Linked DNA regions of Sus scrofa. The protein of the gene in region 1 purifies or fractionates together with the protein of each later gene. This does not show direct contact. Links are inferred from orthologs where the notes say so. Each region holds a gene or a part of one and is shown on either strand. Other genes may lie near its edges.

Evidence for each region.
Region 2: the proteins of DDX6 (region 1) and EDC4 purify together in Homo sapiens (affinity purification with mass spectrometry; 4 studies listed by BioGRID and IntAct, counting the BioPlex papers as one, with this or other methods). This does not show direct contact. The link is inferred for Sus scrofa from reciprocal best matches to the Homo sapiens genes DDX6 and EDC4.
Region 3: the proteins of DDX6 (region 1) and G3BP2 purify together in Homo sapiens (affinity purification with mass spectrometry; 3 studies listed by BioGRID and IntAct, with this or other methods). This does not show direct contact. The link is inferred for Sus scrofa from reciprocal best matches to the Homo sapiens genes DDX6 and G3BP2.
Region 4: the proteins of DDX6 (region 1) and LSM14B purify together in Homo sapiens (affinity purification with mass spectrometry; 4 studies listed by BioGRID and IntAct, counting the BioPlex papers as one, with this or other methods). This does not show direct contact. The link is inferred for Sus scrofa from reciprocal best matches to the Homo sapiens genes DDX6 and LSM14B.
Region 5: the proteins of DDX6 (region 1) and PATL1 purify together in Homo sapiens (affinity purification with mass spectrometry; 6 studies listed by BioGRID and IntAct, with this or other methods). This does not show direct contact. The link is inferred for Sus scrofa from reciprocal best matches to the Homo sapiens genes DDX6 and PATL1.
Region 6: the proteins of DDX6 (region 1) and ATXN2L purify together in Homo sapiens (affinity purification with mass spectrometry; 6 studies listed by BioGRID and IntAct, with this or other methods). This does not show direct contact. The link is inferred for Sus scrofa from reciprocal best matches to the Homo sapiens genes DDX6 and ATXN2L.
Region 7: the proteins of DDX6 (region 1) and ATXN2 purify together in Homo sapiens (affinity purification with mass spectrometry; 6 studies listed by BioGRID and IntAct, counting the BioPlex papers as one, with this or other methods). This does not show direct contact. The link is inferred for Sus scrofa from reciprocal best matches to the Homo sapiens genes DDX6 and ATXN2.

The regions. Positions count from the first base shown.
Region 1 is NC_010451.4:46,036,337-46,039,836, forward strand, and holds part of DDX6 (probable ATP-dependent RNA helicase DDX6), read right to left. Parts: intron 2,682-3,500; coding exon 2,565-2,681; intron 1-2,564.
Region 2 is NC_010448.4:28,488,206-28,492,226, reverse strand, and holds the start of EDC4 (enhancer of mRNA-decapping protein 4), read right to left. Parts: upstream 2,801-4,021; 5' UTR 2,522-2,800; coding exon 2,437-2,521; intron 1-2,436. UniProt on the Homo sapiens protein: In the process of mRNA degradation, seems to play a role in mRNA decapping. Component of a complex containing DCP2 and DCP1A which functions in decapping of ARE-containing mRNAs. Promotes complex formation between DCP1A and DCP2.
Region 3 is NC_010450.4:71,360,675-71,364,868, forward strand, and holds the start of G3BP2 (ras GTPase-activating protein-binding protein 2), read right to left. Parts: upstream 2,801-4,194; 5' UTR 2,585-2,800; intron 1-2,584.
Region 4 is NC_010459.5:61,552,460-61,556,755, reverse strand, and holds the start of LSM14B (protein LSM14 homolog B), read right to left. Parts: upstream 2,801-4,296; 5' UTR 2,627-2,800; coding exon 2,500-2,626; intron 745-2,499; coding exon 581-744; intron 1-580. UniProt on the Homo sapiens protein: mRNA-binding protein essential for female fertility, oocyte meiotic maturation and the assembly of MARDO (mitochondria-associated ribonucleoprotein domain), a membraneless compartment that stores maternal mRNAs in oocytes.
Region 5 is NC_010444.4:11,826,961-11,830,894, reverse strand, and holds the start of PATL1 (protein PAT1 homolog 1), read right to left. Parts: upstream 2,801-3,934; 5' UTR 1,085-2,800; coding exon 1,025-1,084; intron 948-1,024; coding exon 836-947; intron 1-835. UniProt on the Homo sapiens protein: RNA-binding protein involved in deadenylation-dependent decapping of mRNAs, leading to the degradation of mRNAs. Acts as a scaffold protein that connects deadenylation and decapping machinery.
Region 6 is NC_010445.4:18,504,817-18,508,891, reverse strand, and holds the start of ATXN2L (ataxin-2-like protein), read right to left. Parts: upstream 2,801-4,075; 5' UTR 2,268-2,800; coding exon 1,966-2,267; intron 1,339-1,965; exon of another isoform or gene 626-1,338; intron 472-625; coding exon 435-471; intron 220-434; coding exon 163-219; intron 83-162; coding exon 11-82; intron 1-10. UniProt on the Homo sapiens protein: Involved in the regulation of stress granule and P-body formation.
Region 7 is NC_010456.5:32,667,848-32,671,082, forward strand, and holds part of ATXN2 (ataxin-2), read right to left. Parts: intron 2,460-3,235; coding exon 2,314-2,459; intron 1,394-2,313; coding exon 1,166-1,393; exon of another isoform or gene 735-1,165; coding exon 684-734; exon of another isoform or gene 1-683. UniProt on the Homo sapiens protein: Involved in EGFR trafficking, acting as negative regulator of endocytic EGFR internalization at the plasma membrane.

The DNA.
Region 1 (3,500 bases):
GATTTGATTAAAACTCACACAAAGCCCCAAAATTTCCATTGTTTTTTTATCCTACTCAAATATTTTTACCTGAATTTGTTTAAATAAGAGAAAAGCTGAGTTCCTGCCGTGGCTCAGTGGGAATGAATGTGACAAGCACCCAGGAGGACACAGGTTCAATCCCTGGTCTCGCTCAGTGTGTTAAGGATCCAGCATTGCTGTAAGCTATGGTGCAGGTGGCAGACACAGCCCCGATTTTGAGTTGCTGTGGCTGTGGTGCTGAAGCTGCTGTTCGACCCCTAGCCTGGGAACTTCCATATGCCACAGATGCGGACCTAAAAAGAAATAAATAAAATAAATGACAAAAGCCAACTCAATACATACAAGTTAAAAATAAAAGGCGAGGAGTTCCTGTCATGGCACAGCAGAACCGAATCTGACTAGGAACCATGAGGTTGCGGGTTCAATCCCTGGCCTTGATCAGTGGGTTAAGGATCTGGTGCTGCCGTGGGCTGTGGTATAGGTTGCAGAAGCAGTTCAGATCTGGCACTGCTATGGCCCTGATGTAAGCTAATAGCTATAGCTCCAATTAGACCCCTAGCCTGGGAACGTCTATGTGCCTCAGGTGTGGCCCTGAAAAAAAAGGACAAAAGACAAAAAAATAAAAAATAAATAAAAATAAAAACGTGAAAAAAATGAATCATTATTTTCTTCCCCTGGGAATTAATAAGCAACTAACACATACCTATTCACATCTATATGTAGCATTTTTCTCAGTTCTTAAAGGTATTTCTCTTCTTTGCTGAAGTGGATTTTAAGTGATAATTTTCAGCTTTTTTTTAATTGCTAGTTGGGTTCATAACCCACTGAGCCACAATGGGAACTCCCCAGCATGTTTTTGTTATATTTACTTTTAAAATGTATCAGAGGATGCCAGAAATCTGGCTTGACTAAAACAGCTACTATTTATCTTTTCAGTTAATATATACAGACACTAAAAGTCACTACGTCCTAATGAAAAAACAAAAATGAAAACACATACATAATGACTCTAGCAAAAGCAATAAATACAGCATTCAGCAAATTGGTCTTTCAATGCAGTGTCCTTCCATTCTGAAATATTCTCTTCAGCTTAATAAATTCATCTCCTGTGATAATTTCATTTAATTAATTAATTCGGCTGCACCTGAAGCATGTGGAAGTTCCCGGGCCAAAGATCGAACCTGTGCCACAGCAGTGACCCAAGCCACAGGAGTTAATAAGCCAGATCCTTAACCAGCCACTAGGCTACCAGGGAACTCATCTTGTGATAATTTTAATATTAGGTGACTATATTATGGTATCTGATCCATGATATCAAGGTTCTTAGGAAACCAAATGTGGGTTAAGTTCTTAATGTCAGCCTACAGAAACTGCTTTCCTGTCATGAAATTTCATAATACTATTAGCACGCACACGCATAATGTTGTCTTGTTGTAGTCTTGAATTTCTCTGTTACAACAAGAGAGTGCATCCTCTTCTTAAGACAAACACTAAAGAAAAAAATATGTACCTAAGTGGAGTTCCCATTGTGGCTCAGCAGTTAACAAACCCGACTAGCATCCATGAGGATGAGGGTTTGATCCCTGGCCTCACTCAGCGGATTGAGGGTCTGGCGTTGGACCCCTAGCCTGGGAACCTCCATATGCTGCAGGTGTGCCCCCCCCCAAAAAAGGTACCTGAGGAGGTATACAGAGAAATTAGAACCTTCTGCAATGATGGAAATGTTCTGTATCTATACTTTCCAAACGTTGGCTGTTGCTAGTTACATGTATTGTGGCACCTGGAATGTGGTGTGACTGAAAAGCTAAATTTTACTTTTTATTTTTATTTTTTGTCTTTTTGCCTCTTCTAGGGCCGCTCCCTTGGCATATGGAGGTTCCCACGCTAGGGGTCTAATCGGAGCTGTAGCTGCCGGCCTTTGCCAGAGCCACAGAAACGCAGGATCCGAGCCAAGTCTTCGACCTACACCACAGCTCACAGAAACGCCGGATCCTTAACCCACTGAGCAAGGCCAGGAATCAAACCCCCAACCTCATGGTTCCTAGCTGGATTCATTAACCACTGCACCATGATGGGAACTCCTGAAAAGCTAAATTTTAAATATTGTCTAATTTTAACTCATTTATATTGCCACATGTGGCTAGTAATTACTATATTAAATAGTAGCACAAACCTAAGATTAAAGGAATAAAATCTCACATTTCTATTATGCTTGGCATTTACACACTATTTACTCATATATAATCTCAGTTTTCCTAACAACCCTATAAGATGTACTACTACCCCTATTATAGTTAGAAAACCTAATCATAGACACTTTGCTGTATAGCAGAAATTGACCAAACACTGTAAATCAACTATAATTTAAAAAACTAAAAATAAAAAACCCATAGAAAGGTTAAAATTAAGGATCCTTTGCCTAAGGGATAATTTATTCTTAAACTCAGGGCATTGAGAAGAGGATCAAAGCAAAACAAAAATTCAAAAAACACTTAGAAAAAGATTATTTAAAAACCTGTGCAAGTTCAAAGTTTTATACTCACCTGCCTCATTTTAGCATGGATATAGAAGCAAGAATAACCCAGTTGAGAAATCTTCTTGGCTAGCAATTCAACTCTCTGAGAGGAGTTACAGAAAATGATCGACTGGTTTATCTGAAGCTGAGCAAAGGGGGAAAAAAAAAATGTAAGAAAAACAAAAACCTTCATTAACTTTGCCAAATCTTGGAAATATTGACTAACAAATGACTAACAAATTCAGATTCTCATGATACAAGGGAGATGCAAAACTATAAAAATTTTAAGTATTATTCATCATGTAGTAGTTTTATTGTACAAGGGTATTTTTTCCAAGGGACACATAGTTGCCAACAAGAGTAAAACACAGTAAATTCTCATTACTTAAGGTAGTTATGTTCCATACAATTGCTGCAAACACTGAATTAGTGAATCTGTGACCACTGTTCCCAGGGAAAACTCAAGGTTAAGTTCCTGCGAGGAACTCATAACTTTGTCATCGATGGATCAAACAATAACTTTGTTGTATTGTGTTACTGTTTAAAGACACCTTATTTACTCATGGCTAACGGCACTGTAACTCATGCCTTTATGAAGTTTATCCAGTATACTTTTCCTCTGCAAGGTACATCATTCTTCTTAGGAACACAGGAGAGCACCTCAGCACTACACCTAGGAGCAATTTTATACTCAGGGTGGGGGGAGCACAAAAATGTGGGAAATGTGGCATTAAAAAATTATGAAAAGGATGTTCACTTATTTATTTATTTAGGCCACGTCCTCAGCATGAGGAAGTTCCTGTACCAGGGATCAAACCCGTGCCACAGCAATCAGAGCCACAGCAGTGACAATGTCGGATCCTTAACCTGCCGTGCCACCAGGGAAATCTGGTCCAAGGATGTTCATTTATATTATGAGAACTAAAACATGAAGGCAGTGTTGCCTTGTTCAACTTAAGGTAGG
Region 2 (4,021 bases), on another chromosome or scaffold:
TCTTATTCCATAAACACTGATGGTGAACCCGATGTATGCTAGGACCAAGGATGAGCATGGGGCTTTTCTATCTAGGGGAGGAGTATAAGTCCTCAAGTTATCATGGCCTCTTTAAGGCCAATTAATACGCAGCCCTGGGTCAGCATAGAGGGACTCTATGTACTTGAGGGAGGGCAAAGGAAGGGTCAGGACAGACTTTACAGAAGAGGTGCCATCAGAGCTAGTGCGTGATTTATTTACTTATTTTCTTTTTCTTTTTTGGCTGCCCCAAGGCATATGGAGTTCCTGGGGCCAGGGTTCAGACCTGAGCTACAGTTGTGACCTACACTGCAGCTGTGGCAATGCCGGATCCTTAACCCACTGTCCTGGGCTGGGGAATCAAACTTGCATCCCAGCGCTTCAGAGACACCACCAATCCCACTGTGCCACAATGGGAACTCCAGAGCCAATGTGGCAATAACACACAAAGATGGGAAGGATGGAGGGAAAACAAGGCTACAGAGGTCTCATGTATGAGGCTGGTTGCTTAGATTTTCCTGTAGTAATAAGAGCCATAAGAGTTTTAAATGGGTAAGTGAATTGGTCTGCTATGCCAGAGGATTGACTGCTCTAAAGTAGCATGCAGGAGAGTTGAGAATTCAGGTGAGAGGTACCAGGGCTTAGACCAAAGTAGAGGAGGGGCTGGAGAAGAGGGGCTGGGCTCCTAAGGCATGGAAAGACATGATAAGACGTGAGAATAAGAAAGGAAGGAGACTGCCTCACACAGAAATGGCTCAGAAGAACCCACCCTAGAGGAATGGACATGAAGGAGCTGGACAAAGAGGAGAGAAATTATGGGGTAGGGTGTGAGTCAGGAGAGACAGCATTTCAGTTGTCTGCCATTGACTGATTCAAGTACCCGCATAGGTTCTGACACCCCTCCAAAACTCCCAGGTGGCAAAGAGACTAGGGCTTTCTATTCAGGAATATGGCAAGTTTTTCATCACAAAAGAGCCTGGGGTCTGACATGGTTCTCCAGTGAGTAGAGACAAGCAAGGGTAACTTGGCAAAGTGGGAAATCAAGTACCAATCAATAAACAAGGAGTTAAGAGGAAAGCCCACAGGCCTCTTCACTTACATTAGAGCCACCTTAGCTGCTCAGGGTAAGCTGACCACTTTGCCTCCCAAGCAGGCTACCATGAGGACAAACAAACAAACTACACAGCATTACCCACACCAGGCTCTACCAAACCTTTGGGGAGACCAGTCTGCACAGCAGCTGACATGAGAGGCCCAAGCCAAGCTTATGAGTAAAGGCAGCAGGCACTCCAGGCCTGGGGAAAAGGACTCAGTGGTAGGCAGCATGTGGATTTTCTATAGGAGGGAAAGGTCCTTAAATCCAAGACTGGGCACCAGTGCATGCTTCCAAAAGGAGTCAGTTTGGGCCTTCCAGCAGGTTTAAGAACAGGATCTGAAGACACACCAATTCTCAGCTCTGGCCACTGCCCATCCACATCACCATCACCTACCAGTTTCTCGACCACTACAGCTTTTCACAGGCCCCTGAACCTGCCAGGCAACTTTGGTAGTCACACGTGTCATTTCCTCTTTGTAGAATGTTTTTTCTGACATCCAAGCCTCTGTCCAAGATGCAAGACTTAGCCTAAACATTGTCTCCTCTCTCAGATCTGTTCTTAGGCACTTTCCAGCCCCCTCTCCACCTACCGTCTCCCCATCACAGTCCCAAAACCCTTCTTTCAGAGACAAGAGCATTATATTACACCTCATTAGCTCTTGTGTCCAGGGGGCTCACTGAGGGCAGGAGCAGCTGTGAAGCACCACTGCAAAGTTTAAATGAATGGAAATAAACTGGGGCTTGCAGATCTTTGTAGCCTAATCCAATCAGGATTGTGAGCTCGGTGATATATCTTAACGCCAGAGAGGACACAGAACTGGGGTTGGTCACCTTCCTCCTGAAAATGGGTTTCAGGCCTGGAGTCTGTTCAAGAAGGAAGGGCAAGGTGCAGAGGGGGATCAGCGGCTCCTCAGCATAAGCGCCTAAATCTAGACCCAGAATTTGGCATACAGAGCCCAGACTAAGCGTCTGAACTAGGGCAAAAAGGGTAGGAAACCCGGACCAGTCCCAAGAACACTAGAGACCCTGGGGCCAGGAGACCTAAGGGGCTCTGCGGATTCAGAGAAGGGGCCTCACTTTCAGCCAAAACGCTGAAGGACGAGGCAGAACGGCCGGACTCCGGGACAGGGAAGGATTGCACACGGGGGTCTGCGCCCTTTGGGAAGCACGCTCAGGGATGTGCCGCTCCCACCCTCGTCGCCCTCGCCGGCAGAAAGGATGAAGAGCCGGTCCTCAAGGACCCTTGGGCCATGAAGGTGGTCGAGGCTCGCGCCGCCCTTCTGCTTGGTCGCCGAGGGCCCACCCCCACTCTCCCAGCTCACCCCCCGCGGGCCGGTCCAGCTTGAGGATGTCCCGCAGGTGCTGCGTGGCGTCCTCGATGTCGATGCTCGCGCAGGAGGAGGCCATGGGCCCAGCCGCGGACGCCCGGTCCGCACCGCGTTCGTTCCGCCGACGCCGCGCACCGTCCAGGGGCGCACAACCCAGCCAGGGCCAGACAGTGGGACGCCAGTCACCACACTCCGTCCACCTGAAGCTCGCAAACCGCCGCCCGCGCCGCGTCCCTGAGCCCCGCCAACCCCACCAACCGCCTCCACTTCCGGCCCGCCCGAGCTTCGGCTCCCGGAACCTGCCCTGGGCGGAGAAGAAAGGTTCCGGGCTGGGGGTGGCCGCCACGCACCCTCCTGAAGCCCGTCCCTACCGCGGTCCCGCCCCGGGACTAATAGGGTCGGGGTGAGGGGGAGGAGTTCCGCAGGGCTGAAGGAGAGCAAAATGTCCAGCTACCGGACCGCCCAAAGCTCTGATCGCCTCAGGATATCCCACCTGGTCCAAATCCACTCCCTATGGGCCTAGGACCAAGTCAATTCGGTTGCCAAGGTGAATCACTCAGATGCCCCAGGAACAAGTTGGATTGACAGAAGCCTCGGTTTCCCCTTCAGGAAGCGTGTGGTTGTAACCCAAGGCCTGACGGGATCTGAGAAATCCTGGACCCAGGAATTGCATGGGCAGGGGAGATTGTCTCCACAAACATCACATCACTCCTTAATGTCCCCCAGCATCCCCCTGCATGTCTTGGCACCCTTGGGCAAAAAGAAAGTAAACCATAGTAATATAAACACCTCTTTATTGCAGACATTTCAGGCACAGGTACATGGAAGAAGCTGTATTGCCGATTTTATACAGGGTGGTTTAAGAGGCAGCAGGTTTCTGCCTCTCCCCAACCTCCTCCACCCCCCAAATAACACAGCAGCCTAGAAATCCGTCTCACTGAAATCTCCTGAGTATGCTGTCTTTCCAAACAGCACACCATCCAGCTCTGTGCCCAGGGTAGCCAGGCAACAAGTGGGGGTCTGAGTTAAGTCCTTGGCTTCCATCCAGAGTGCAGGAGGGAGGGAGGTGGTGTTCAAGGTCAAGCAAAGCTGTGGTGCCCTCACCAATCCTAAAACCCCTACAGGACACCAGCCCAAGTCCTTGGATTGGTCCTAGCCTGTGGTTGCTACCCTGCTACCAGTTTTACACCACCAAGGCCTCAGGGCTAAAGGGCCAGATTTGTATTAGGCAAGTCCTGTTCCCCAAACTGAGGAGCAGAAACTGCCTCAGTATTAGAGATTTCTTGGGATTTGAAGATAATGTGAAGGGGTGGGTGGGTGTGTGGTAAGGGAAGGACTAGGAAGAGGCCTAGAGATGCCTTGCAGAGGTCTCAGAGGTGAGAAATCCTAGAACCTGAATCACTCAAACTCAGATTGCGTTCTTTTACAGCTCTAAATCTATACTCCAACTCAACTAGGCCTGGATCTGTGGGCATTGGAGGCTGGCTATTCAAGGCACTCCCCTTTGGGCAATGATATCCAAAGCAGCTGGTACAGCATCTAGGCTGCCCTCTGCTTGGCCTGGGATTTATGGGGCACA
Region 3 (4,194 bases), on another chromosome or scaffold:
AACCCTCTGTGCCTTAGCAGAAACTCTGCGATTTTGAACTATATAATGGCATTCCTTTTTTTGGCAGTGCCTGTGGCATGTGGAAGTTCCCAGGCCAGGGATCGAACCTGTGCTGCAGTTTCAGCCTGCACCACGGCTGCAGCAACACCAGATCCTTAACCCACTGCACCACAAAGGAACTTCCTCATGGCATTCTTATACTGAATGTTTATAGATTTATGCAAGTGAGAAGTATAATGGCATTAAGTCAGGCAGTCACATTTTTTTTTTCACTTTTTCTCTTCCTTTATTTAAGAAATGGTTCTTGAGCATTTGCCATATTAAAGGAATTATGCTAGATGATTAAAGGGTACAAATAGGAATAAGACACGGTCCCTGACTTTTCTTTATAAAAATCACTGGAAGTGGATTTGCATATAATCTCCTTTCTCTTTGGAGTCCCTTCCATGGCTGCTCTGTAATGACGTCTCTGCTCCCCTTTCAGACCCCCAACTGGGAGAAAAATTAGCCACTGTACCCTCTCTGCCTCTTCTTGACCCTGGAAGCATCGAGTAGCTCCATCTTTTCTCAGACATCAGGAGAAAGGCAAGACTATGAGGTCAAGGGGAAGTCTGGGGGCTCCACACTCATCTCCTCTGTATCAAACCGTCCATCCTTCCTAACCAGGGGGGGACTAGAGAAGAAAAACAGGTCAAATGACGGGAAGACTCAGTACACTGTTAGTGACTTACTACACTCAAAATTTAAAACAAAGCAGGGCATTTTGAAAAGGCAGGTGACTTAAAACAATTCTGCTAAAATGTCAAGGTGCTTTTTATTACCAAATAATGCATGTTAAGAGACACCCATAAGCCCCACTCCATCTCAGAGTTGTATCCCTGATAATGGGGTAGAGTGAGGTCCAGGGAGGAGGTGAGGAGAGGCTCAGGGAGGAGTGAGGCTGAGGGACTGAGTGAAGTTCTTTGCACATATTACTTGGTAATAAAAATGCTGAGCATTTATTGGTTACTTTTCTTAGGCTGCAACAAAATGCCCCATGGAAAATGGCTGAAGCAAAATGTCAAGTGTCTGGTTTTGAAGCAGAGGACAATGCTTTGTGTACAGTATTTTTGGCAGCATGATCTCCCCCACTCTCCAAGTCACCCAGGCTTATAACCCTGGCCCTAGGAAAGGAAACTGCACGGCAGCCTTTGTGATATGGGTTATCTACAATCCCACTGTACTTACAGCTGCAAAAAGAACCTCTCCTCCTCAGCATAATATTCATATATCCTTTAATATTTTCTTCATGTATCCATCAATACCACCTTTATTGGACACTGCTAAGCCACAGAGACATAAAAATGAATAAAATAGCTGTGCCCTTAATAGTCCACTTCAACAAGCATTTACTGAGAGCTTCCCACTTATTAACACCTGCAAAGTGCTAGCATATACCTATGTATCTGGATTTCAGGGAAAGCTTTCAGAAGATGCCAGAATTAGGTCTTAAGGAACTAGCAAGAGTTTCCTTGAAGAAGTGGAGGGAGGGAAGGATATATCCAGGCAGGTATCAGAAGTACACGGGGGAGGCATAAGCTAGAAAAATAGGCAAGAGTCAGAACACAACAGGCCTGTATACCAACCTAAGGAGTTTGGATTTTATCATGGTGAGAATCGGCAACAATTGGAAGATATTAAGAAGAGGACCAACATGCATAGATGTTTTGTCATTGGTAGGCTCACCCAGGCATAGACTGGAGACTGAACTGGAAGGAAGCCATGCCCTGAATGCAGACAAACTAGTTAGGAAGCTATTGCCATGATCTTGGTGAAAAATGATGAGAACATAAACTATGTCAGAGGCAGAGAGGATGGAGAGCAGGGACCTATTTGAGAAATATTCTATAAATAGAGTGACAGGACTTGACTGCAGGACATGTGTGGGTGAAACCCAGAGTTTCAGATTCCTCTCAGCTTCCTCCTTCTAGCTTAGGCAATGCTTTGGAGAGCAGTACTAAGGAGTGGGGTCGGGCACATAGAAGATGCATATTGATTTTTTTTTCTTTCTTTAAGGGAGGCTGGGGAGACCTGCAGTTGGAGGGGTGTATGAATCAATCAGCTAACTGGACCCTGCGCTTTTTAGGTTCAAGACATTTACGAGACCACTCCATAAGCATGTGTACCTGGCACTCTCATTTCGAAAGAAACAAGGCATGACGATTTGAAAAATGACATTTTTATGTTAAAAAAAAAACACTGAAAATATAGGGTTTAGAGTTAATAAAACATCATACTACTAGCTGCCAGTCTGACACTGCAGATCAATGTATTTCCTATCTTTAGATAGGTTTTCGCTTCACACCACTTGAAAAGAGCGGTGTACCTGGTGCTTAGATCCAGGAATTCCTTTTAGCGGGTTTAAGAGCAAGAGCTGAAAAATGCGCCCTCCCGTGGTAGTGGAATGAGGGGGTTCTGGCACCCTTTCTACCACCAAACAAAGCCCTGTAAAGAAATGCAATTTATGGGGATGAGAAGGCCACAATGCTGGTACCGCTACACCGCAAAACCAGAATGAACCCTCCCAGGCGTCGGGACCCCTTACCTGTCACGTCGGCCGAAGGTAAATTTCACTTTCCACTCAACAAAATACGACTCCTGATTTGACAGCCTACAGTAAACCCCACTCGGTGACAATTAAAAACCCTGCAAGCCAAAACGCGTACACTATTCGGATCCTCTCCAGCCGGCAGGGCCGGGCTCCGACCACGTGGGTGGTTGAGGCCAGCAGAAGGCACCCGCGAAGGGCGGGAGTAGGAGGCGTGTCCCTGCGGAGGGAGGCGGGCCCTGCGCAGTGGGCGGGGCTTGACGACCCCGGGCTGCGGGCCTCCGCTCGCCTACTTTCTCCCTTTGCCTTCGCCCTTCGAGCCGCCACGTAATGCCACGTCCCCGCGCATGCGCATCTCGACTGGTGGCGGCGGCTGTTTCCGGGCTTAGGGGGCTGGAGCGGCCGCCGAGCAGGAGGCGGTGGTGGCGGCGGCCGCGGAGTGCAGAGTGCGGGCTCGGAGGCCAGGCCCAGCGGAGACCAGAGGAAGTTATCTTTTTTTTCCCGAAGGGGTAGGCAGAGCCGGTGGCTGAACGGCAAGATGAATTTCCTCCGCGGGGTTATGGGGGGTCAGAGTGCCGGACCCCAGCACACAGAAGCCGAGACGGTGAGAGGAGCGACGGGTCCGGGACTTGGGAAGGGTCCGGGCAGGAACCGGGACGGAGGACTTGGGGCCCGGGAGGTCACCTCCCGCGCCCCGCTGTGGGCGGGGAGTCCACACGCCGCCTCCCCCTTTGCCGGCGTGCCTCCCCTTCCTCTGCCGAAACCCCCGAGTTATATTCCCTCACGCCCCCAGCGCAGCCACCAGCGCAGCGGCTCGGCCCTGCTGACAGCAGCTGCGCCCGAAGCTCCGCAGGCCGCTTGGTGGTGGTCCGAGGGTGATAGCGCCCGGGAAGTGATTGATCCAGGGCAGAGGTGGCCTGACCTGTCTCCCGCGCCCTCGGGCCGCGGGCCTGCCCCTCCCGTTGCGCCAGTGTCTCCACTGGCAGTGAGGAACCTAAAGTCCAGCTCTGTTCTTCGCAGTCTGATATGGGCTTTGGGGAGGACTGCAAGAAGGTTTAAAACCCAGCTGTTGACCGGAGCAAGTGGCTAAGAATAATACGATAGTTTGGGACACAAAGCCACCTGCCCCTGTCCCTTCAGCTGGAGAGACCGGTCGTTCTGCCGGGTGTTATTAGTCCGGACCCTGTTTCAGGCTCACCCAAATGCTTAGGAAACACTAGCCCGGACGTTGTAGGGATCTTTCGCGCTCAGTCCGCTTTGGGAACACATTTCCTTTCCACTCACCCCATTCAGAAGTCTGAACTCGTGATGACATGATTTGCAGCGTCTCTTTTAACAAATTGTGCGCTCCTGCACACAGTAGTTGTTAAGTTGGTTCTATTTTAGGTTTAGGAAGTTTGGTTAATGTCTGTTAGAAAAGCGTGTATATGACATTTTTTTAAAGACGCTTTTACGTTGAGGGTAATTTTAGATCTCCCCAAAAGTGACAAAGTATGACATTTTTAAGGTAAACTTTGGGTAGTGTTCATAGACATGACCTGGTCGTCTGCAAACATGTCCTGTGTTGATGGGATCCTCAGGGGTAAAATAGTAGCATTCATTTGTCA
Region 4 (4,296 bases), on another chromosome or scaffold:
TCCTCAAGTTCCCAAGGACCCTCACTCCAAACCTTCCATCTGGCCTGGGGCTCCTCCAGGTGCCCCCAGAGCACAAGCCCCCACCTTCTGGGGGGGGACACCCAGCCCAGGAGCCTCCTGCAGGGCGAACCGCAAAGGAGCCAGTGAGCATCCAAATGTCCAAGTCATGAAAGCATGAACCTGGACTCCCGAGCGATCCCGGGCAAGCACGCGGCACAGCAGGCAGGCCTGTGGTGGGAGCTGCAGACTCAGTGCCCACGCCGCCGCGTTAACAGCTGGACGGAGTTGGGAGAGCCAACCCTGCTGTCCCAAGTCCCCGCTAGCATCTCTGCCGCTCACAGCATGCCACAGGGGCTTCAGGCTCAGCCGACCCCAAAGGACAAACACCGTCCTGGCAGCGCGGGTGCTGCCCGACTAAAGACACTGCCCCCCCCCAACAGCCCAGACAAAACTTAAGCCCTTTTCTCGAAGAGCTGCTCCTCGAGAGGAGCCCTCTGGCCAGACGACACCGAGTTCCACCTGGAAACCAGCGTGCCTCCGAGACAAGGCCCACGACGGACAGAACAGGTGCTGCACTCACCTGAACGATGGCGGGGTCCTGGGGCAGCGTGTGCTGGGCTTTCGGGGGTTCACACACCGTGATGTCCTTGATGTCGCTCCCCCGGAAGATGATGTACTCGTAAACCTCCTCCCTCGGCGGGGCAGGCCTGTCCGTGGGCCGGTCTTCAGTGCCGAAGGACCTCACTTTGGAGTTGAGGAAAAAGGGGCTAAGTCGCTGTCCTCCCGGAGCCGGTCCTGGCCCCCAGGCACCGGCTTCGCCACCCGACACGCCCGCAGCGGCTCCGCCCAGTGGACGATCCCTACGCGACCCCGGCGGGCAAAGCTCCAAAAGGTGCCGAGTCAACTCAGAGCCTGACAGTCGCACGGAGCTCAACGTTCTCACGTCCCAACACAGACGGCCACCAGCGCTCCCAGCCAAACAACAGCTGCTCTGCAGACCCCGTGCACATCTGACTGTGCAGATTCAACAGCCCCAGGGCTGCCTTTAGACAGAAACCTCACCACACGTCACCCCCGAGGAGTCTGCTTCCTTCTGAGAAGAGCCAGCACGTCGTGCTATCCCTGCCCTTCTGCCCACAACCAGCCTGGGAGGAGCCGCGACGGAAACAGCGGGAGAAGGGGCTGTGAACGGGGCCCCGCAGCGCCAGCGCCCATGTGGGGGTGGGGGCCGCGTTTCCAGGCTACTGACCCAATCGGCAGGGTTCAAGGAGCCCAAACAAGCATCTCCTTCTCGGGTCTCTGGGGCAGAGCTGGGCTCCAGGCAGCCTCTACCTAGTCTGAACACACTCCTGCTGAGGACCAGGGGCTACTCCGGGCCTCCGTTTCTCCAGCCAGGATCTCAAGCCAAATGCAGTCAAAAGGCAAGACTACACACGACCACGTTCCCTCATAAAGCTACACTCTCCCGGACCAACGCAGTCTATCCAAACTTCACCACCAGGCTTTAGGACGAGCCATTCCCAGAGCTGGCAACCAACTGCGACCCGAAGGCCTGGGACTCCCTCTGACATAGAAGCCTGTGTGCTGTGCCTTGAGCCTTAAAAGCCCAGCACGGCGTCTCGAGCCCGACAAGCCCGGGTAGACAAACAGGGTTTCTGCAGACCGGGCTGCCCTCGGTGCTCCTAAAAGGCGGGGAATGACACCAGCCCCCTTCCCCGAAGGAAGACAAAGAAAGTTTGAGGCCACCTCCCGCCTCCACACCCTCAGAAAGACTGGACTCCGGGAAAGCCTCAACACAGCCATCTTCCTCTAGTCTCCCAGGGACTTCGCTGCGGCCACCAGCCCGTGCAGGGAGGGGTCGGCCACAAAACGGTGAATCCGCAGGCGGAACGTCTGAATAAGGGCAGGAAAGCGATTTAAATGGGCGCTCCTAGCCGCCAGCCGACGCTCCTACCCTGGCAGGAGAATCCATTAAGACGTGGTATTTGTTCAGGCTCAAGGCCCCAGCCGCTTAATAGGTTCCAGAAAGCTTGCAGGAGTCGGGCTTTCCCAACCCCAGGCTTCTGGGGAGGCCCCAGGGAGACTCCCAGGCCCCCCGCCCCGCCCCTCCCCCGAAGGGGCCGGGTGCTCCGCGCCAGCTGGCCCCTCCGCCCGCGGGCAGGTGGGGAGGCGGCGGCCGGGCAACGCCGGCCCCCCACCTGCAGAGGTGGGCTGCGCCGCGGAGGAGGCGGCGCCGCGGGAGCTGGACCCGCCCCACCTCCCCACCCCAAGCCCGGGCTGGGCGGGCCGGCCGAGCACAATAACGCCGCCGCCGGGGACCGGGGGCCGGGGCGCCCTTTGTGCAGGCCGAGCCCCGAGGGGCCGCGGCGGCTGCCGCGCGGAGGCCCGGGAAGCGGGGCGGGGGAGGGGGCGCGCCGGGGGCGGGGAGGACGGCGGCGCAGGCCCGGCTGTTGGCGGGGGGCGGGGGCCAGGCGGTTGGGGCGGCCGCGGGGCCGCTACCTTTGGCGAGCGCCACGGTGGAGTTGTCCGTGTCGATGGTGTAGAGGATGCCCTCGTAGCGGATCTGCGCCTTGGAGATGAGGCTGATCTTGCTACCCAGGTACGGGGTGCCCGAGGAGCCGCTCATGGCGGCGGCCAGCCGGGCCCGGCCCGCTCGCCTCCGCGCGGTCGCCTCGCCGCCCGCCCTTGTGCCTCGGCGCCGCCTCACCGCCGCCCGAGGGCCTGCGCGGGTACCAGCGAACGAGCGAGCGGCGGCGGCGGCGGCGGCAGCGCGCGGCCGGGGTCTGTGAGAGACGCGCGGGGGAGGAGGGGCCGCAGCAGCCACATCCGGGGCCTGCGCCGCCACGCCCCGCCCCCGCATGCTCGCCGCCCATTGGCTCGCCGCGCCGGCCTCCCTTTAAATATGGCCGCGCCGCCGGCTTGGGGGCGGGCCCGCGCTCCGCGCCTGCGCACCCAGCGCCGCCGGCCGGGGCGGGCTTTCCCCTGCTCTCCGCCCCACTTCTCGGCCCGCTCCCGTCGGGCTCCGCGCGGGGTGGGAGCACGAGACTTGGCGGGCGGGCCTGGGGGGAGGGGTGGGAATCGACTGGGGCGGAGTGCGCGTGCGCGGGGCGGGGACGGGGCTGGGGGGCGAGCCGCACGTGTGTGTGTGGAGAGGGGCGGGGACGGGAAGCCCCGCGCGCTCTGCGCGCTCGTCTGCTCCGGACCTAGGCTCCGGGAGCTTGTAGACGCCTTTCCCGGGTCTTAGGTTTCCCCCCTACGAAAGTGTGCCCGGCAGCTTTCCCCCGCCCTGGCTGGAGAAATTGGGGCGTGTGCCCCAATTCTCCCCTCCCCCAGGGGCGAAGGCTGGGGGTTGGTCCCTTCTCCGGGGAGCGAAGTCCCTGCCCACGGAGATCTCAGTCACTGCGCCTGGGGTGAAAATGAGGCCCCAGGGGTCTCTTGCCCAGGGCGGGGGTGAAGGCAGCGGGTCAGACTCCCTGCCCACGAGGTCACCATCCGTGGAGTGAAGATCGGGAGTCCGGGGGGGCAAAGGCAGGGGCCGGGGGTCCCTGCCGGTGTGGTGAAGGCTGGAAGGGGTTCCTCCGCCGGTGGGGCGCAGTAGTAACTGCGGGGAACTAGCGCTTCCCGGCGCGTCAGCCGCTAAATATAATGTGCTGAGCGCATCGTCTCATTGAATCCCGCCCCTCCCCCAAGCGGCGGTGGCGCTCCCTGTCCCTTAAAATAAATCCCAGCCGCCCCGCCAGGGCTTCCAAGGGCCGCCTGACCTGGCCTGCTCGCTGCTGCCTCCAGCCCAGAGGCCTCGCGGCAAAATGGAGAAGCAGACCGTCCCTTTCCAGTTCGCCAGACCGTCTTCTGCCCTGCACAGCCCTTTACTCCATTAGCGCTTACGTGGGCGCTTGCTTTTTGTCTGTCTGTCCCTCCTGACATCAGATCAGGGATCAGCATTGGGTTCTGAAAAACAGGGAGGGTGACCAGCATTTTATAGAAATGAACCGGAATGAGAGAAATAGCAGAGAGCTCACCGCATAGAGTGCCGTTGCTCTGTGAAGCGTTTATTTCACTTAGATGTGTTGAAATGGGTACTTGATCAAGGTGTAAAGTATTTCTTGCTTTAAGGGCCAGAGGAAATAGTGGAAGCTGGGAGTTCCCGTCGTGGCTCAGCGGTAATGAACCAGACTAGTGTCTATGAGGACGCGGTTCGATCCCTGGCCTCGCTCAGTGGGTTAATGATCTGCCGTTGCCATGCGCTGTGGTGTAGATCCCAGGCGCCGCTCATATGCCAAGTGGCTGTGGCTGGGG
Region 5 (3,934 bases), on another chromosome or scaffold:
TTGTTGTTGCTATTTCTTGGGCTGCTCCCGAGGCATATGGAGATTCCCATGCTAGGGGTTGAATCGGAGCTGTAGCCACTGGCCTACGCCAGAGCCACAGCAACTTGGGATCCGAGCCGCGTCTGCAACCTACACCACAGCTCACGGCAACGCCGGATCGTTAACCCACTGAGCAAGGGCAGGGACCGAACCTGCAACCTCATGGTTCCTAGTCGGATTCGTTAACCACTGCGCCACGATGGGAACTCCAGAAAATTTCATTTTTGCACAACACCTTTCTAACTTACAAAGACCTCTTACTACCAAATTCCTGGAATAAAATATGTAATTAAATATACTTACTATAGGACAAAAGCAGGGTCAGGCCATATAAAAATTTTCAAACATACATATATGAATCTTAGTTTTCTCCTAATGCACTAGTTTTCCTTAAGTTACGTGTTTCATGAAAAAAAACAAAAAAAACAAAAAACTTCCTTCTCTATCCAGTGTTGCCATGAGCTGTGGTGTGGGTCACAGACGTGGCTTGGTTCCTGTGTTGCCATGGTTGTAGCGTAGGCTGGCAGCTATAGCTCCAATTCGACCTCTAGCCTGGGAACCTCCATGTGCCACAGGTGCGGTCCTAAAAAGACCAAAAAAAAAAAAAAAGTCCTTCTTCTAGGATTATTTTAAGCCTTTATAAAATGTCCACTTGTCTAACCATTTGAATTTCTTATAGTGTCAACTTAGAACGATAGATCATAAAGCTGGAAAAGACAAGGCTTAGAAAACACCAGATTTTCTAAGTGAGGCAAAAAGAGACCAGAGGAAGACAAAAGTACTTAATATCGCTTACCAACTGCACCTGACCCAAATGTATCATCATTGAATTGATCAATCTCTTCATCTTCCTCTCCCAGCCCCTGAAACGCATCTTCATCTTCATCCAGAGGACAATCCTCCAAAGACTTTAAGAGAGAGAGAGAGACTGATAATTCGTGAAGTTCACAACCTCACTTAAAAAATGTTCTAAAAATGTTCTTACCTTCCCAATCAACACAATAGCTTCATTATGACTTTTTGTACAGATGGCATTTTTTTCCATCCCCCAATTTTCCCGACATTGGAAGATTTGCAAATCGTTTCTTTCAGCTTCTCTTTCCTATTCCTTATTTCATTTAACCTCTTCCCCCAAATTTCCATTTCTCTTTTCAGCAAGAATCTAATAATAGCATTTCCTCATGCAACCAAGAAATTAGGCCTGTAACTTCCTTTCCATCACTGGTTACAATAATGACAAATGAAAGCAAACACTTTACATTTTGCTAGAGTTTTACATCTATTTTTCAATGAAATTCTTATCTTCCCCATATTCATGTCATCTTTTCAACCCTTTTATTATTCCCTTTTGAAGCTTTCTCATCATTTTTCCTCTTCCTTCTTTCTACAGGCCCAAAACTGGTGATAAAACAGAAAGCTAAGATTTCAATCACAATTAAGTAAACTCTTGAAAGGCCGGGATGTGGCAAGTTTAAGTTCTGTCTCAACTCTGACAAGTGATATCAACTTGGGCAAATCACAGCCGTTCTGATGAATTCATTCAATACCTCCTGAGCACCTACTGTGTCTCAGCCTGTATTAAGGCTCTAAGCCACAATCTCTTAGGTGGTAATACAAGGACACCACCACCTGCCTCAGCAAGTAGTGAGGATCAAAGGAGAAAAAGATTGAAGCAAACATTGTGTATTGTTAAACAATGCTAGATATCACTTGGGTATGTTCTACTTTAAACACTCCCCCCCCCATTTCATTTATTTTTCCAAGTTTTCTTTTCTTTGGGGAACTTTGCCCCACCACATCTCAGCATGTCTCTCCATGTTTACATATAGTCAGTTTGATCTCGAGCCATTCCCATCAAATAGCAAGAATACACAGCCCCAATTTTCAAATACTCAGAATCAGAATTCCACACTCTCTGGCAGGCACATTTGTGATAACACCTTGCCGGCTATTTCTCAGCTAGGCTGTTCCCAAAAGAAACGTTAGGCCAAAGGGCCATCTTAGGTCCTTCCAAACTTAGACAAAGCAAGCATGTGCAACTGCATCCACATCAGAGGCAACTTCCAGAAGCATTCCCAAATCACAAAGATCTACTTCACCGAATCACTGCTTTTTAGGTTGGAAAGGGATCGTCTAGACCCACCCTTTCTACAAATCCAGAAACTCTGTCTAGTGATTAGCAGTCGCTAAAGGTCATACAGAGACTCAGTGGTAGCGTCATAACTCTGTTGCTGTATTCCAGGGACCATCACGAACCCCCAGTTTCCCTCCATTCGCCCAGAAAAAACTTCTGCTGGACACGCCCCTTCCCCACTCGGAGCTCTCATCAGTAAACAGTCTTCCGCCCCAGTCAAAGGGCAAGTGCAGGCCCGGGTGACCTGACGGTTGCCTGCGAGTAAGGGGCTATGTGTAATTAATGCGAGATGATAGTTCTGGGTCTTAGGCGGGAAATGCGTCCCTGGGCTTTACCCTGTGGCTCTTCCTTAAGCCTTAAGTGCCACCGGGTGGGTGCAAGGCTCTCAATGCCGAGCCCCACCGGGGGTACGGTGGGGTGGGGGGTGGTTGGTTACCGCACTTAACGGGCCCTCCCCACCCCCAAACAGAGGTCAACTCTCCTCAGTAGCAACTGATAGGACAGTCCCGCCCCCACGAAGCCAGCTCACAGCCCTTGGACTAAACCCGCGACCCCAGAGCCCACACACTCTGCTCGGTCCTGCCGGCCCCTCCGCCCCCCCTTTTCCCCCCGAGGGGCGCGGACCGACGCGCTGAGCGTGAGAGAAACAGAGAGGGGGGCGCGTGCCGGCGGGAGGGAGGGGTCACTTCCGGTCGCAACAGCTCACCTCGTAGCGGAACATTCTTGGGGAGGGGGGGGAGGGAGCGGGGAGGGGAATGGGGGAGGGAGGGAAGAAGCGCTGACTCTCCGGGCTCCTCCGCGCGCGGGTCCTCCACCGGCTCGCGACCCCTGGCCGCCGCCGTACGCCGGAGCGTGCGTGGGAACGTGCGCAGGCGCGCCTCGGGGAGGGCGGCCGCCCCGCTCCGCGCCCGGCGGCGGCGGCTGCGCGGGGACAGATTTGGCGTCCCGCTTCCTAGTCTCGGCGGCGGGAAGGAGGTCCCGTGGCGAGAGACTGCGCACGCGCCACCCGTCGGGGGCTTCCTCGCGATCCGAACCTGTAGCTCCGCCCCCGGCTTCTCTGCGCCCGCCCGACGCTGAGGTTCGAGTCACGAGTTTTCCGTCACCGACGGGGCGGAGAAAAGCCTTGTGATTGTCACAGGATATGGCTTTGGAGAGTCCCAGGCTTAGCTTAGGCTGGGAGAAATGGACATTCCTGGGCACTTTTTCCAGCGTCCAACACCGTCTTCGGGTTGCTTGGCGGTCTTCACGACATACGATAGGCACCGAGTGGAGGGGAAAAAAGTTAAAGTTCAGGTCATCGAAAGGGGCTGAGTTCGTCGCCACTTTCAGCGGCACGTCACCCGCTGAGTCAACAGCAGGTCAGGGCTGTGATTTATGTGTCTCAGAGATGAAGGCTTTTTTTTCCTCTTTTCTTTAAACCGAAGGCTTATTAGGGAGGTTCAACCAGGGAGGTATTTTTAGGGCTCAGGCACATCAAGCGTGTGGAGTGAGGGAGCCAAAAAAGGCAGCACAGCCGTGGGCAGCAAGGTCATCGAGGCTGAGTGCGCCGTAGGGTGACACCACCTCCTTAGAGGATCAGGACCAGAAAAGCATTTGTCCAGGTGCCTTGGCAGCCTGTTTTCAGAAGTCTCTTTGGAGAACTGTTATCTCCGCTAGCCGAACTCACTCTTTCCCCTTGAAGACTAAACTTGGCTACGAAATTTAGTCCTTGCACCACGAATTCTTGTGCAGTTTCGCAACTCCTTTCTCCGGTGTCTTAAA
Region 6 (4,075 bases), on another chromosome or scaffold:
GTACACTGACCTTTGAGCTCAGTGTCTTGAAGATACCTTCATAGGTGGTACCATTCTTCACCTTTACATCACAAGTAGAGCCCTGAAAGAGCGGGAAAATAAGGACGAGTGCCTCCAGCAAACGGATGCATTACATTCCTAAGAGTTTAGGTACCCACTTACCACAACAGCTGTAAGGAAATGCAGCATTCTGGAATTGTTGTAGACACCCTCAAACACCTGTCAGTAACAAAGGAGAGACAAATAAAGGAACAGCCAGTCAACATCTCACCTTCCTTCTAAATGCCCACAGTCCACTAATATCCACCTTATATGTGCTGGGCCCCCTGCTATTCCCAACCAATCTGACTATTGTTGCACCTTATCTGCCCTACATCCCCATCCGTGCATCTTTTAGGTCTCTGTGCCTTGGGTGAGGGGGAGAAGGCACTCACCGGTGACTGTGGGGGTCCCTTTCCTGTGCTTTGTCCTCTATAAGAAAAGGAAACAAGGAGCTAGTTATTTCATGCTCAATCCTTTTTGTACCATTGATTTCAAAGGACCTGGTATGTTAGAACCATATATCATGTAAAGATAATCACTTAGGCTACAAACCAATTAATCAACACTACTTTCAAGATCTCACCTTCAGAGCAAGAAGGACATTAAAAGCCATTTCCTCCAATTGCCAGCAAAACAGACCTCAGTCATCAAGGGTTGTCAAAAGCCAATTCAACACAACCTTTTCACTTTCTCCAAGAGGGCCAGGGCTGCATGCTTCCAACAGACAAATGCTATAATATTTGATAACTAACAGCCCACCCCAGATGTAAAGATAGAAGCTCACAGAGTGAGTACCTAGATCAGGCATGCATTTATTACCTCCCCAACAGAAAAGACCATCATTTCCCGTAGCCTTGCGCCCTAAACCCTGGCAGGAGGGGTACTCCCTCTACAATCCACCCTCTCGATCTCTTTACTCATTCAGCCTATTACCCACTCTGGAAGGGGTCACCAATCGCCTGGTAACCCTGCTCCTCGCTGGCTGATGTAACCGTCGGTTGAAGAGGACGATCAGGGGGCCGTTGGCGGGGCTGGGGGACAGCGCAGCCGCAAAAGCTCTCCACCGGGAGGCCTCGCCCGGTCTGCGCCTGCGCACTAAAGCCCTAGGGCCTCTTCAAAATCCCCCCTCCCGCGATCACAACCCACTGCGCCTGCGTGTACCTCCACTCTCAATTCTATAAACCCACAAACAGAAGAAACACAGTGGGGTGTCCACCACTCATCCAAGAACACCCGGCGAACCCGTCCAAGCACACTCCCGGCAGCTGCCCTCTATGTTACCCGGGGCTCGAGAATGGCCGGGTCATAAGACTGAGCATCCGCGCGCACGTACGGGAAGCGCGCGCGCGCGCGCTGGAGGTTCCCGGCCCGCAGTCCTCCCAGTTTTGTCCCTCCTTCCGTCCCCCCCGCCCACTCTGCTCCATTCCTACTGGCCGGACTGGGAAGGGGGAGGTAGCAACTCGCTCCCAAGTCCCTCCCTCCCCATTGGCCAAACTGTGGGCCGCGCGCCCCCCTCCATTGGCTACGGCCAGGGACCCCTTCCCGCAGCTGACTCCCCATTGGCTGAAGCTCCGGACCGCGAGACCCTTCGTGGTAATGGAGCCGGGGACCCCTATCACCTCTTCACCCCCCCAACTCGTTCCGACGCCGCTGGCGGGATGCGCCCTGCCTGCCCTTAAGGCCCAAGCCCCGAGCAGTGACTGGTCGCTCAGAGCTGAGCGCGCACCCTCAATGTCCCGGTGGCTAGCCGCGGAGGCTTTCCTCCGACCTGTTAGAACCTGAAGGGCCCACCCCCAGCTCCACGGGATTTCCCCACTCCCCCTGGCGTCCCTCAAAGGTGGCCAGAGGCTAGAGGTCTGCCTCGCGCGGTGTACAGGTCTCGGCCACCTTGGCTCCGGCGCCCGGAAACCCACACGTTCTCACCTGGCGCTGCCGATGGCCGCTGCCCCTGGCCTCTCCTGATGTTGCTGCTGCGGCGGCGGCGGCTGTGGCGCCAAGATGCCCTCGGTTCCCCGGCGGAGTCCGCTCCCGGCAGCGGCTGCAGGCCCTAGGCAGGGGGAAGCGGCCGCGGGAGGCCCTGGGGGAGCCGAGGTGGAGGCCAGGGGCCCCGGGAGGCCGCCGTTGGGAGGGCTGGTGCCCCCAGGAGGCCGTCGGGCCACGGCCTGTTGCGTGGGGGGCGGCTGCTGGGGCTGGGAGGTCTGTTGTGGCGGCTGAGGCTTCAACATGATGGCAGCGTCCGGAAAGGGAATTAGGGGGAAGGGAGGGAGAGAGGAGGCCGGGGCTGGGGCCCCGCCGGAGAGCGCGGGAAGCGAGGTGGACTGGGAAGCTGGGGACCCGCCGTTGGCGGGCGGGGGCGAGCCCCGCGGTGTCGGGGGTGGATAGAGAAGACCGCGGCGCGAGGAAGCGCCGCGAGGCGGAAGGGGAGGGGGTCTCGCGGGCCGGAGGAAAGCGAGAGGGCGCGAGCCGGCTTGGCGCGCGTGCGCGTCGCCGGGGAAAAGGGAGGGGGAGGAGCGCCCGGGCGGGAGCTCCCGAAGGGGGAGGGGCGGGGAGGAGGGAGCGTCGGCGCGAGATGTCCGAGCGCACCGGGGCGGTTAGCTCCGGGCGACAGAGGAGGGAATAAAGAAAGGTGAATCTCGCGCCTCTAGCCTTTGGAGTGGGAGAGGAGCAGCGCGGGCGCTCACGCGCGCCAAGGATTTAGGGTCTCTAGATCTCAAGCAGCCCAGAAGACTGCCGGCCGCTGTCGCTTCACAATGAGCGTGTGAAGCGCTGGGGGAGGAGCCGAAGCAGCAGAGAGGAAGGAAGAGCCGGCCGCCCCGCCTACGCCGCCGGCGTAGCGTCGGGATGCCTCCGCAGTCTTGTGAGAAGTCACGACGTAGCGTGCAGTTCTTCCGCCATTCGGGGGCCTGTGGGCGGAGTCTTGAGTGCAAAAAAAAAAAAATCCCGAGAGTAGACCCGGGACTTCGCTGAAGCTGGTGGTAGTTTCGTGGGGAGCTACTCTCGGAGCTTATCTGATTTACATAAAAGCCTGATAGGCGTTAAAGATAGCAGTTTGGAGATAAATATCTGCCTAATTCTAAATTATATTATATGGTTTTCAATATAGTAATTTCTCCACGCCCTGGAACGGGACTCTTAAACTAGCAGCAAAGAGACTGTCTGAAGGCCAAAGTTCCTAGAGTCTAGTTCAAAATCCTCCACCCCACTCGACAAGGAAGGTAGCCTTCATTCATTCAAATTAGTTGGTCATTAGGACATTAGGCTAGGTGTTTTCGATATAACTGTAATGAAATTACTTCCTGCCCTTGTCAAGGAGTTTAAACTAGTGGTAGATTCAGACAATTAGATCTCTTAGGTGAAGCACGGGGCACTAAGAGTAGATAGGAATGACATCTAATTCAGCACTGGGTGATGGGTTTCTAGGCAGGGGGCATAGGATGTGACAAGTTAGGAAAACTTCAGCATGTCTGGAGTATGAAATTAAAGAGGGAGGAGGTTGAAAAAGGAAACTGGAAAATTAAGTAACGTGGGACCAGATATTAAGGAGACATGAGCATAATCCTCAAAGCAGTGGCCACAGCAACACCAGGCCAGAGCCACATCTGTGAGCTACAACACTGCTTGCAGCAATGCCAAGTTCTCTAACCCACTGAGTGAGGCCGGGGATTGAACCAGCATCCTCATGGATACTAGTCGGGTTTGTTAACTGCTGAGCCAAGATGGGAACTCCCACTAGTTGGATTTTTAACCTGTTGAATCACAAGAACTCCCAGATTTACATTTTTTTAATGAACTTTATTTTTTTTTTAACGGCCACACCTGCAGCATATGGGATCAAATCCTAGCCACAGCTGCAGCCTACGCCACAGCTGAGGCAACGCCATATCCTTAATCCACTGTACTGGGCCGGGGATAGAACCGGTTCAATTTTTAAAAGATTACCCTTTGCAGTGTGGAAAATAGAGTGGAGGAGTGATGAGTCTGTGGTTTCAATCCCAGATAAACTTCCAGTGTCTTTCTCTCTCTTCACTCCAGA
Region 7 (3,235 bases), on another chromosome or scaffold:
CTCCCCACCATCAAAAGCAAATCATCCACTGCAGTCCACACTATAGACCCTACACATTTGCTGGGGAGGACGCCCCCAACTTCCCAGAGCTGTGGGATTCTAGTTACAAGGTCGCCTTCTGAGATTTAGCTCCAACTGAGCAACATCTTCAGCCCCCACCATGCCAGAGCCTCAGTGGTGCATTGCTTGACAGGAAACAGAGTTCAGTGAGGCAGTCTAGCTTAGACCCGCCTAAGAGAGTTCTGTTATGAAAGCAGCAAAAAGAGACATCAAATACAGCCGATTCACCCTTAACAGCTCCAGGGAGGGCATCAAAGGACAGTATTAGAGCCCAACTTCAGTGCAGCTCCTTCTCCTCATTAAGACAATCCAACTTGGCCCTGGATTGCATTGGACTTTTGTCAGCAGCTAATGCAGACAGAAAACACACCTTTCAACCTTTACAAGCTTACACTGGAGGTGAGCTCCAAAGTGCTTCCAGGGCTGCTCTTTAAGAAAAATGGGAACAACACCTGGGAGCTTCCAGCTTCAAGTTACACTGCACCAATGTACAAGGCCAAGCCCTTTCAAGAAGTACAACATATGGTCAAAGCAGATGTATGAACAACCAGGGAAAACAAGTGGAAAGATTTCTCTGGAACTCATGTGACTAACATTCAAGCGGACAGGACCAGGGTAATCACCTCAGAGTTGAGAATTTGTGAAATCCCATCTTCTTTACCAGACTTGTGTGTCTGTGTGTGTGTATGAGAAGGGGTTGGGGGGGGGAAGGGGAGAGAGGGAGAGAGAGAGACAGAGAGAAAGACAGAGAGAAAGAATATATGTATATATACGTATATATAACAATGAAGTTATATAAACATAACAAAGCAGACACAGCAAGGAAAAGAACTAAGTTGCATTCCAGAGTCAAAGATATTTTTAAAGTCTCAATTGAGAAATGTTAAAAGACTGACTAATTAGCAACTTCACTGATCCCATTACAAAGCCACACAAACATTCATTTAGGGCCAGATCACATGTATTTGAGCAGGAAAAGGGAGACAAGCAAATGGTATCACACACAAGGTTTCCTAGCTTGAAGAGCATCTGGCTCTTTGCTGTTTATCTGATAACCTTCATATTCTACTTGGTCTTCACAGAAAGTTGGCTAAAGCAGGTTTACCTGAGGTACATGGGCCATGTGGGGTGGATTGGTGTATGCCGGCTGAACATGAGAAGGATGGATCGTGAAGACAGTCTGTTGTGCTGTTGGGAAGCTATTCTGTGGCGACTGCGTATTGGAGGCAGGTGTCATGGAAGGTGGGGTTGGAGCGAGCCCTGCATGGTAAATGGCTGACTGCTGTTGTGGACTGGCCAGATGGAGAGCCTGGGCAGCCTGGTGCTGATGGTGCTGCAAAATGACAAAAGACTTGAGAAAATCACTTTCTTTAAAGAAAAGCAGTTAAGCGTCACACACAAAGCTGAGTTTTACACATGAAAACAGGCTCCACTCAGGCCCATCCTTATAAAAGGAGGGGCAATGGCAAGTACAAGAGAAAGTACAGAGTGGTAAGAGCAGGCTGGGGTGAGAGGCCTCTCAGAGACATCCCTTTCTGGGGGGGAAAAGCCTGATTCTCAGCCTACACTCCCTCAACCAAGTGGTGGTAAAATAAGACTATTGCCCCAGGGAACTGATCCATATCAAAGAGCTCCCTAAGTGTCCTGCTAACAACATGATAGGAGTTTGGATTGTGACTCAGAAGTAACAATTAGGATCCATGAGGATGCAGGTTCAATCCCTGGCCTTGCTCCGAGGATTAAGGATCTTGTGTTGCCATGAGCTGTGATGTAGGTCACAGATGTGGCTTAGACCTGGCATTGCTGTGGTAGGCTGGCAGCTGCAGCTCCGATTCAACCCCCAGGCTGGGAACTTCCATATGCCAAGGTGCGGCCCTGAAAAAAAGAAGCAAAAACAAACAAACAAACATGATTACAAAAGCTAACAAGAAAAACAACAAACAAACAAAAAAAACCCCCAAAAAACCAACCCCACACCTCATCATATAAACATTAGGAATTAAATTTTTAAAAAGTCCCAAGCAAATTCCTTACTTTATGTTAAATTAGATTTTTCAGTGTTGGTAAGCTTCCAGAACTTAACCAATCACCTTATTCTCAATATGTGACTTAAACCCTAGGGACGCAGCCTGCAAAGCTATACGCTGCTAGGTATTTTGATCACGTGGTACCCAGCATCTTGTCTGACACTAAAAAAACACTCAGCAAATATTATGAGGAAGCTCTGGTGAAGACCTCTGAGTTCCTCCTTACCTGAACAGGACTGGGTGCAGGATGGCTTCCACCATGCTGGTTCTGCTGCTGTCCAGTGGGAGTAGCTGAAGGCTGAGGATGTGGAGTATGTGGGTGCAGGGTAGCATTAGGGTGCGCATACTGTTGAGCAAGGGAGCCAGTGGAAACTAAAGTGAAAGAAAGAGGAGTGTGTATAACAGACGTGTGTGATGATCTTGATCACTCCTCTATGCCTTGACAACTCTCAGTTGATCAACTGAGCTGTTCTGATGCTCAATGCCAATCTCTATATCCAACTCCATTTAAACCATCCATTTCTTGAAAAAATAAATGTGAAGTTACTGCTTACCAACCAGACTAGAATTTTATTCACATTAACACAGCTGTACACATTATATCAAAATCTAATTAGCTTTAATTTACTTTTAAAAGAGTCACTGGGTTTTTGTGAAAAGGCAGCTTAAAAGCATAAACAGAACTATTCAATCGCACACATACACATACTTTAGGTCAAGGCCATCATCTGGCTAACCTCACCATGATACTGCCCTGCAGCTGGCACAGTGATCTGTGGGCACAGATTTTTACCAAAGCTGGAGTAAGGGGCTGGATAAGGTGTGTGGCAAGGTCAGGGCTCTATCTTCAGGGCCAAATGACCACAATCTCTCTCAGCTGATAGCAGAAGCAACTCAGTTTGCTCCCTGGGCTTCCTTGCTCAAGGATCTTTCATCTTTGCTTTATAAAATCTAGTAAATAGGATTACCTAAACTACTGTAGAAAAACTAACTCCCTTCAAAGCATTCCAGCCTTTAGAAAGAATTTCACTAGCCAGAGTAACCTCAAAAGAAATATGATGGGCTAGTTTTAGTAAAAATATGTTCATTAAAGATAAGAACCCAAAGCCAATTTTTTGTGAATCTCAGCACAGATCATATTTTGGCAC